Linked DNA regions of Schizosaccharomyces pombe. The protein of the gene in region 2 interacts with the protein of the main gene of each other region in a pairwise test. Each region holds a gene or a part of one and is shown on either strand. Other genes may lie near its edges. The genes, in order: moc3 and cbh1.

Evidence for each region.
Region 1: the proteins of cbh1 (region 2) and moc3 interact in a two-hybrid assay, tested with the Schizosaccharomyces pombe proteins (2 studies listed by BioGRID).

What each region holds. Positions count from the first base shown.
Region 1 is NC_003424.3:990,813-995,651, forward strand, and holds moc3 (DNA-binding transcription factor Moc3), read right to left. Parts: upstream 2,977-4,839; 5' UTR 2,467-2,976; coding exon 940-2,466; 3' UTR 820-939; downstream 1-819. Other genes in the region: mitotic and meiotic (sporulation) septin Spn2, read left to right, coding at 44-713; ubiquitin ligase Slp1, read right to left, coding at 4,664-4,839. UniProt on the Schizosaccharomyces pombe protein: Induces sexual development and ascus formation. Also involved in calcium homeostasis.
Region 2 is NC_003424.3:4,458,262-4,463,032, forward strand, and holds cbh1 (CENP-B protein 1), read right to left. Parts: upstream 2,618-4,771; 5' UTR 2,509-2,617; coding exon 964-2,508; 3' UTR 659-963; downstream 1-658. Other genes in the region: pyridoxal reductase Plr1, read left to right, coding at 3,523-4,524. UniProt on the Schizosaccharomyces pombe protein: Binds to centromeric K-type repeat DNA and ARS3002 DNA. The CBH-binding consensus sequence is Py-Pu-A-T-A-T-Py-Pu-T-A.

The DNA.
Region 1 (4,839 bases), 3.5 Mb from region 2:
ATGGAAATTTCTATTCCTGCACAGCAATTTCTAACTATAATAGCTGGGAGCCTATAATTAAGTACATTAGGGACCAACACTCTTCCTATCTTCGTCGTGAATTAAATTCACATCGCGAGAAACGTCTACAAGACACAAGAGTACATTGTTGTTTATTCTTTATTCGCCCAACTGGACATTCTTTGCGCCCTATTGATATTGCTGTCCTCAAACGCTTAACAGAAGTCGTAAATGTTGTGCCTGTTATCGCTAAGTCTGATTCATTGACTCTTGAAGAAAGAGCAGCATTTAAGCAGCAAATCCGTGAAGAATTTGTTAAACACGACATCAATTTGTATCCTTATGATTCTGATGACGCCGATGAGGAGGAAATTAATCTAAATGCTGCCGTCCGAAATCTTATTCCTTTTGCCGTGGTCGGTTCCGAAAAAGCCATTATCGTAGATGGAAGGCCTATTCGTGGTCGTCAAAACAGATGGGGGGTTGTCAATGTGGATGATGAAAACCACTGCGAGTTTGTTTTTCTTCGTAACTTTTTGATGCGAACTCATCTTCAAGATTTAATTGAAACGACCTCATACTATCATTACGAGAAATTCCGCTTTAAGCAATTGAGCAGCTTAAAAGAACAGTCTTCCCTCGCAACTAGAATGGGAAGTCCCGCACCTGTGTACCCTTCTGAACCACATCTCCATACAGCCACCGCTCAATAGTCTTCTTCCTAAGGTAATATATAGTATGTTTAGAACAAAGACTAAACCATTTGTATGACTGTCGTACCGTAATTCGTAAATTTCGGCTCTTTTTACACTATGCGAATCTTACAAATGAAGTGTTTATCTTATTAACGAGAGATTATATGTTTGATGCGTGATTTTGTCTAGCTATTATACAGTTCTATATCAATATTTATTGAAAAGCATCAAAATGATTTTAAAATTAAAGTACTGGTCGATTTAAGACATTGCAATCCATAAAATGTTCTAGCATCAATCTTCCGAAATGAGATTCGATTTGTGCCCGAAGTTTAAATTCTTTAGAGTTTGATGCAAAAACATTTTGTAGAGATAATACGCATAAATAGGAAGTGCGTAATACTGCAATATCTGTGCATTCTTCTTGCATTAATTGCTGTAAGCCAGAAAGAACGTCATTATTGTTTTTGGTAACGGCATGTCCTACACAATCTATAACTTTAGTAAGAGGACTTCTTGATGCTGAATACAAGTGCACATGATATTCATCTCGCCAAGCAACCATTCGTTCTCGATGCAAATCATCAGACAAGGTTGGTTGAGAGAGAATGTCCAATCCAATAGTAAACAAAGAATCCGAAACAGGTGCATGACTTCGAGAAACAGAAACTTCCGATAAAGGCTTTCCATTAAACCCCCAGATACACCCACGAGGAAGAATTGCAAAAACTAGTTCACGAACGACCATAGCAATCAATAAGCTGACATAATTTGATTTGGTAGACGAAGACCAACTTAACTTTCTAATAAAATTATTACAAAAATTGAGATCATAGGCTGGGAGATTGAGCTGAGTGAGAGTCAAAAATGCAGAAACCAACAGGTATTCAAAAGAATTGGGACCAGGCATTGGACAGCGAAGAGCTCTGGTCAAATGACTGTAAGCACCAAAAACGTCGAGCTTCTTAATAGACGCAAAAGCCATTAAAGAATTAGCAATACAAGGCATCGATTGAGCAAACTGGGGAACAGTGACTGACCAAAAATGCAAGGCTATGTTATTATCAAATTCAAATGCACAAATAGAAGGTACGACATCGTGAAAATAAAACGGAAACAGTTCGGAATTAAAGTTTGAAGGGAAATTGGAAACTGATGAAAGAAAAGGGTAAGAGGCCTGACCCACCGATTGTACAGAGGGTTTTGTAGACGAAGTAGCGCTAGAAGAATTATTTGTAGGAACGTTATGATTGGATTGAAGGTATTGATGCTGTTGATAAGCACTTGGAAATCCTTGTAAATTCATAGGTTTTTGATGATCCTGTTTGATTGGGGTAACGGTGGATAAATTGGAGGAGGAGGTCATCTGATTAAGATCATTTGTATTAAAATTGGATTGTGAAGAGCCGGAAAAAGTGTCTCCGGTTTGAGCGCTACTTGAAGCAATTGAAGTAGGTATCAATGGCTGTTGAGCAGAATGAACGCTTAGCTCAGGAGGCGATACACTCCCCATGGCTTGCATTTGAGCAGCTGAATTTGGATAACCTTCACATTCCCTATTTGTCTTTGTGCAGTTCAAACAAAAAGGTTTGGTTTCGTCGCACTTGATCCTGCGACGGCGACATGTTAAACATCCAGTTTTCGTTCTTCTTTTTGTGGGCTTGGGCGTAGGCTCGACGTTTGGGTTGGGAATATATAGCGGATTTGAATTAATACTACCCGTTCTATTCCGTTTCATATGAATTTCGGGATAAGAAACATACGGGTTCATAACTGCAAGGGAAACAATAGATAGAAAAAAAAAGAATAACAAGATAATAGGAACTAAACAAATCAAAAGTAAAGAAAGCCCGATTTGAAAACGCTACGCTGCTTGAGAAAAGCGCGCAAAGAAAAAACGCAAGCACAGAACATGAAATTGGAAGCCGATTTATACAAAATTTAAGCTCCAATTTAACAAGGAAACTAAGCACCTTTTTCGTAAAGGCCAAGAAACTCTTTGTAGTCTTTTTTTTAAAAAAGGTAGCGTTACTAACTCTATAATTATATATATATGAATACAATAAATTATTTCAGAATAACCGGACGGCCAAACTGTTCGTAATAACAAAAGAAAAAGCCCTAAAAAAACAAAAGAAGGTGAAAATCAATGGTCGTCTAGCAATTTGCTAGCAACTCTTGCACAATCAATAGGTTTATAGGAAGTGACTTGAAAACAAAACTAGCAAAAGCGACAAGCTCACCCAATTTACAAATGCAAATTTGGGTGAATAAAGGACTTAGAAAAAATGTTGGAACAACTTTCAAGTAGGAACCTCGACATTAGCGAGTGATAAGGCGGCAAATTTGATAAGCCCAAAGGCAACAACAATACTAAGAGCTTTTTATTTAGACGTTAGTAAAGTAGCTTGCTTGATACGCATTAGTACAAAAATCCAAAGAATTGAGAAAATCACGAGCCAAGCAAAAACAGTATAAGAACGATTAACTTGTTTAACCTCTAATGTTCTTTTAAAAATAAAAAAAAAACACAGATGTTTCGTTAATTTTTTGATACTTAGATTATGCCCTCATGTGTTTCATAAATAGCATTCCTTGCTTTTCGTTTTTTTCTGTTTTTTTTCTTTTTCTTTCAGACAATTTATAAAAAAAATTCTTTGCATGTACCTAAATATAGTTTGCATTCTCATTTAGGTTGATCAAGTTGGTTAATAACCACGTGGCTTCGAATATCTGTCATGTTCAGGAGCCACATGTCTCTCCATTGTTACAGCGATTTGGTTGATCTTTACATGGCTTACGCATACGAAGATGCTTCCTGCATTTTTTTTTTATTTCAAATCGTTCATTCACTCTGCACTAGCGAAAATCTTCATTCATATGCAAACTTGTCACTCTTTTATATTAACAAAATATAAACTTAAGCTTGAATACAACTGTTAGCTTTGAACGCTACACCTACCCTAGTACCCTAGTAGCTTGATAACCATAGCGAAGATCCGTGGCCTATTGTCGATCTCTGGGAAACTGTCACTGGATCAAAAGCATCATGTTTCTTCGCTCGGTAAGAAAACTATACTCCAGATTTATGAGAAAGGCACAAAAAGCATCAAAACCTATGCCAATGCAAGTCTCACAAAACCAAATTATCCACCCCTAAAGGTGGAATTGTTCGTTGTTCGTGATGCGATTATTGCTTTATCAGGATGATTGTACTTAATCTCAATCAGATCACCCCAAGGTTAGTCGGCTTTGTCAAAGGTCTTACCTTTTATTGAAATCCATATCCTCCTGTAACAATAGGGGATTCACTATTCATACCTAGTTCACCCATTTTTCTCATTTCACTTCTTAAAGCAAATAACGTATAATAACAGTATTTGTTTACTGATGAGATTAACATTACCCGATGAAGAAAACCAACTATGGTACAGCAATAGGTAGTTAAGAAAATACATGAGATCGTAAATACCAAATGTTTGCCAATTATGAGCGTGAATTAGCATTAGTTTTTTTTTTTCTTAATTCATCTGTGTTTCAATAATACGAATTAGATTGATAAGTTTTTTTTTTTTTTTTTTTTTTTTATAACTACCTAGTACTCTTCCATGATGCGAACATTATAACAACAATGAGACCAAAATATCTTTAGCGATTGGAACAACAAGGTCACATTTCGGAAAAATGATTTGCCAGGCTGAAGATTTATATTAACCAACTTGTTCTCATTAAAAGCCAAACTATTGAATTTACAAATTTGTTATACGAGCATCAATCCTATTATAATAAAATCGACTCAAGTTGAATTGTAGCACATATTATTTATTCACGAGTCATTAAAATATTAGTTTAAACGTGTCAATTATCTTCCCATTAGCGCCAAATCCAAATAAATAAATAGTGAGTAACTGATGCAACATAGTGATTCGACGAGCTAAACGTTGAAATCTAAAAGAAACTGGTGTTGTTCAACGGATTGTTATGCTGCTGGACGGGGTTTTGGTAATTGGAATGGGCCTTTTAACGTGGTCCCCATCATAAACTCGCCAAAATTTCAGATTCTCATCACTGGCTGCAGTTGAAAGAATTCTTCCATCAGGCGATAAAGCTGAATACAAAACTCGGGTATCATGTGCAGGAATAT
Region 2 (4,771 bases):
ATCTGATAAGCAAAACTTTCAAGATTTAAGAAGATATGTATATATACTTTAAGATCACCATAGCTAGTGTGGATCATTCTAGTGTGTATTTTAAAAATGGCATATTCCATTTTGTTTACTCTACTTTCAAATTTTTTTTTTTTTAAAGTGGGTCATCACTACAGAAATTATTCAATGAAATATATCTTCTGTTTTGTAGCTCAATGAAAACTCATAATTATATAAACATATTTCCTTAAATTCCACACTCCAGTTGCCTCATATCCATAATGTGATTTTTTTATGTCTTGTTTTGGTAAAATCTCTGATTGTGTGTGGCTTTTTTACCTAGCTATTAAAATTAATGGTTCGGTTTTCAGATTCGGACTTAAAGTCATATCAAAACCCCTACCCATTTTTCTAGCATTTCCAATAGTGGTTTACCAGCGCAACAACTCAAACAGCATCTCACTCACAAAACCATATGATCATTCATCATCTATAGCATTTAAATTAAATTAAATTAAATTAAATTATTAAAGCATCATTGCTTAATGCTTTATTTTTCATTTGCGCGCTAACTGATTTTTATTTATTAATTGTTCTCACTGCTTCTCTATATCTCTGTCTTGCATACAACAAAGGAAAACACAATGTGACACAGTTTATACAAAAAAAATCATTAATAATTCATAATATCATTAGAATCCTATAAAATGTTTTGTTGTTCAGGTATATGTACACACACTAAGTGAATTTAAAAGAATATTAAACGAGAAGGGTTCAAAGCCGCCCGCCATAGTTAACCAAAAGTAAGCAGAAACATTAATCTCAATTAAAAAAAGTAATTTTGTACGAGTGTCGACTTTTGTTTCACTATATTTTTTTTTTGGAAATTTGTTTGCTTTGGAGATTGAAATCATCCAACGTGAAGCACTTATTGGGTTTAGTAAGACTCGCTCTCAATTTATTTCCGTAAGTGGATCACGCTATTAAATTATTAGGGGCAATCACTCTTTGTCTGCGGTACAAATCTAAAACAAACGAGGGATCCCCATTTTCGTGTTGCTCAAAATATTTTATTAAGACTTCAAAGGCCATGGCAGCCTCCACGTTTGATATTTGAGGCTCCACGTCTTCTTCCTCATCCGACTCAAAGCGTCTCTCCTCCAGAAACTCTGCAGCAACGGTATCCACAGCATCTTGATGTAATTTGGTTTCATCTTCTTCAGAAGGTCTAATGTATTCATTAATTTGCTTAACAGCTTCGCTGCCCTTGCTTGAAATCAGATTACCAATTTCCATAATGGCCTTTTGATACGACTCCATTCCTTGTCCTTCGGCCTCGGAATGTGGACCCAATAATCCTGATCGGAGAAAAGATGCTTGAATAGTCTTTTCACTCACCCCAAAATTCCAAGACCAAAGCATCCACCGAATGGCTTTTAAAACATTAACGGCTTTTAGAGGATCTCTCAATATGTTGATTTGATTAAGGGAGTATTGCAACCAGTATCTTCGATAATTCGCTTTAAATGTATCGACTATTCCTTGTTCAAACGGAGACTTAATGTCCAATGTTTTTTCTGGAATTCGAAATACAGAGGTGTTCTGAAAACCACCTTTAAACCGTCGAACACTTTCAACACCGAACTGATATGTGTCATTGCTCTCTAACATCAATAGGACCTTGCGTCCTTGCATACGTGTGTCAAACCACCGAAGCCATTCCTCCATAATAATTGGTGAAATTGAAGCTCGGCCATTCCACTTCCATTCGAAGTTCATACTTTTAGGGAAAATACCGCACTGCTCAAAAGATCTTGGGTTTTGTGCATAACCCACGATCCATAAAGGTAGTCGTTCTGACCCATCGGCATTGCAACACATAATTAAAGACACTTTGGCTTTTCCACGCTTCATTCCCTGGATTTCCTGATAATCCAAGTTTTGTTTATTAGGAGTGAGTTTCCAAAAAAGGCTTGTCCCTCCAACGCAAAATATATCTTTTTGGGCATAAGGCCGTATAAACTCTTGAATATGAACTGGGTATTCTCTAAACACCTCAAATTTGATGGATTCCAATGCCTGATTTACCGCACTTTGCTGGATATAATGTCTTCTTCTAAATTTATCCAACCAACCATTGCTAAAGTCTGGTAATGGGAGAGAAGCATACGCCGGAATTTTCGACCAAAATCGAGTAGCAGCTTGTTTGATCATATCCCCTGATATAGGAAGGCCTTCAACTTCTCTTTGTTGCAACCATTCGTACACGGCATTGTCAAGCAAAGGAAACTTTGGAGCTCGAATTTTTTTAATATCACCGAGTCTTACACTTCCATCATCTAAATAACTGTATTTGGGTGAAAGAATTTCGGAAATCGTTGACTGCGATAAATCTTTATTGTACGTTTTTCGAAACCATTCTGTCACTTCCTTTTGAGGAATTCTATGGGCAGATTGGTTATAATAATCTCGAATTGCCTTTTTCTCTGCTAAAGAGACGGCCTGGCGTATAGGAGGCATTGATTTTCCTTAATACTTACTATGCCGATACTTTTCCAGACCGATATAAGAGTATAGCCTTGGATTTATACAATTATTTTATGTTGTAGTAGATATCGGAAATAACGGTGAAAAGACGAATTCTATCCTTGTAGGGTTTAAGAAGGTGAGTACTACTAGTGCATCCTTCTGCCTTGCACCCTATATAATCTAAGTGCAATATACCGAACCTATTGTTAATCTGTAATAACAATGCCATTGGAGATGCTCAAATTATGACGTTCAGGTTAATATAGCAAATTTGCGTATCTTAACGATTTTGTCAGTAAGAAAAAGAGAATTCAAGAGCAAAAAATAGGAGAAAGAACGACATGAACGCTGTTAGAAACCGTTTAAAATCAATTCTCATATATGTTTTAAATGAGAGTCTAATTGAATACTTCCTCAAATTTCATTTCTGTAGCACACCTCTTCTCACTATTAAACAAAAATGTGTAAATAAATAAATGTTCCTTGGTATTGTAACAAAAATGGCGATTCTGAAGTTCATGAGCATTTTCCCTTCTCTTTCATTTAATAAATTCTCGAATTTTCAAATAACATAATATGTAAGTTCTCAGTTTTGGTGTAATTACTTTTAATTCCAATATTTCCATTCATAGTTCAATTCATAATACTTACTATCAAGTCTATTTCAATAATGTATGTTACACGTGTGATCCAATGTTTAAAAATGTAGAAGTAAATTTATAAAAGCAAAGCCAAAAATAAAGAACAAAGCTGTTTAAGCTAGTTACGGTACGAAGAGTAGGTGTTACTTACGTTTGATTCATTATTATTAACAGTAGAACTAATTAGTAAGCATCGTCTCAAAGAACCATTAGGAAATTCTTACAGCATACGGTACCGTTATCATATAAATAGCAAGCTTTGCATACCTAGCAGCTTAGTTTTTCCAATATTATTCGCTTAAAATTGAGAATACACATTTGATATTTACAGAGTTAAGCATTTTTAAATTAAAGTTGTGAAAAGATGCCTATCGTTAGCGGATTTAAAGTCGGACCTATTGGCTTTGGTCTTATGGGTTTAACCTGGAAGCCCAAGCAAACTCCAGATGAAGAAGCCTTTGAAGTAATGAATTATGCCTTATCCCAAGGCTCCAATTATTGGGATGCGGGTGAATTTTATGGTGTCGACCCTCCCACCTCTAATTTAGATTTATTAGCTAGATATTTTGAAAAATATCCCGAAAACGCTAATAAGGTGTTTTTATCTGTCAAAGGTGGTTTGGATTTTAAAACACTAGTTCCTGATGGAAATCCGGACTTCGTGTCAAAGAGTGTTGAAAATGTGATAGCTCATTTACGTGGGACCAAAAAGCTAGATCTCTTCCAATGTGCTCGAGTCGACCCAAATGTTCCCATTGAGACAACCATGAAGACATTGAAGGGGTTTGTGGACTCTGGAAAGATTTCATGTGTCGGCCTTAGCGAAGTTTCTGCTGAAACTATCAAACGTGCTCACGCTGTGGTCCCCATTGCTGCAGTCGAAGTCGAATACTCCTTGTTTTCTCGTGATATCGAGACAAACGGTATTATGGATATTTGTAGGAAGTTATCTATCCCTATTATTGCATACTCTCCTTTCTGTCGTGGCCTTTTGACTGGTCGCATTAAGACTGTCGAAGACCTTAAAGAATTTGCTAAATCTTTCCCATTCTTAGAATATTTGGACAGATTTAGCCCTGATGTTTTTGCTAAAAATCTTCCATTCCTCCAAGCTGTCGAGCAACTTGCTAAAAAGTTTGGTATGACTATGCCCGAGTTTTCACTTCTTTTTATAATGGCGTCTGGAAACGGTCTGGTCATTCCTATTCCTGGCTCCACATCTGTTTCTCGTACAAAGAGCAATCTCAATGCACTGAATAAATCTTTGTCTCCTGAACAATTTAAAGAGGCCAAAGAGGTCTTGAGTAAATACCCAATCTACGGGTTACGTTATAATGAACAGCTTGCGGGCACTCTTTCCGTTTAAAGTGCTGAAGTTAGTCGATACTCTTTCGCATTTCAGTTTTGAAATGCATATTAAATATAAACTTATTATATGCTAGCCTTACTTAGGTATTCAGTAATGACAATTTATTTACAGCGAAAATGTTAAATCATTTGTTTATAGAGTTTGGCTTGTTATTACCGATTTCTGCTCGATCTCGTTTAAATGTTTCTAGTATGCTCTAAAAAAAAAAGAAAAAAAGAAAATGATGGGTGCTCACGATCAGTTT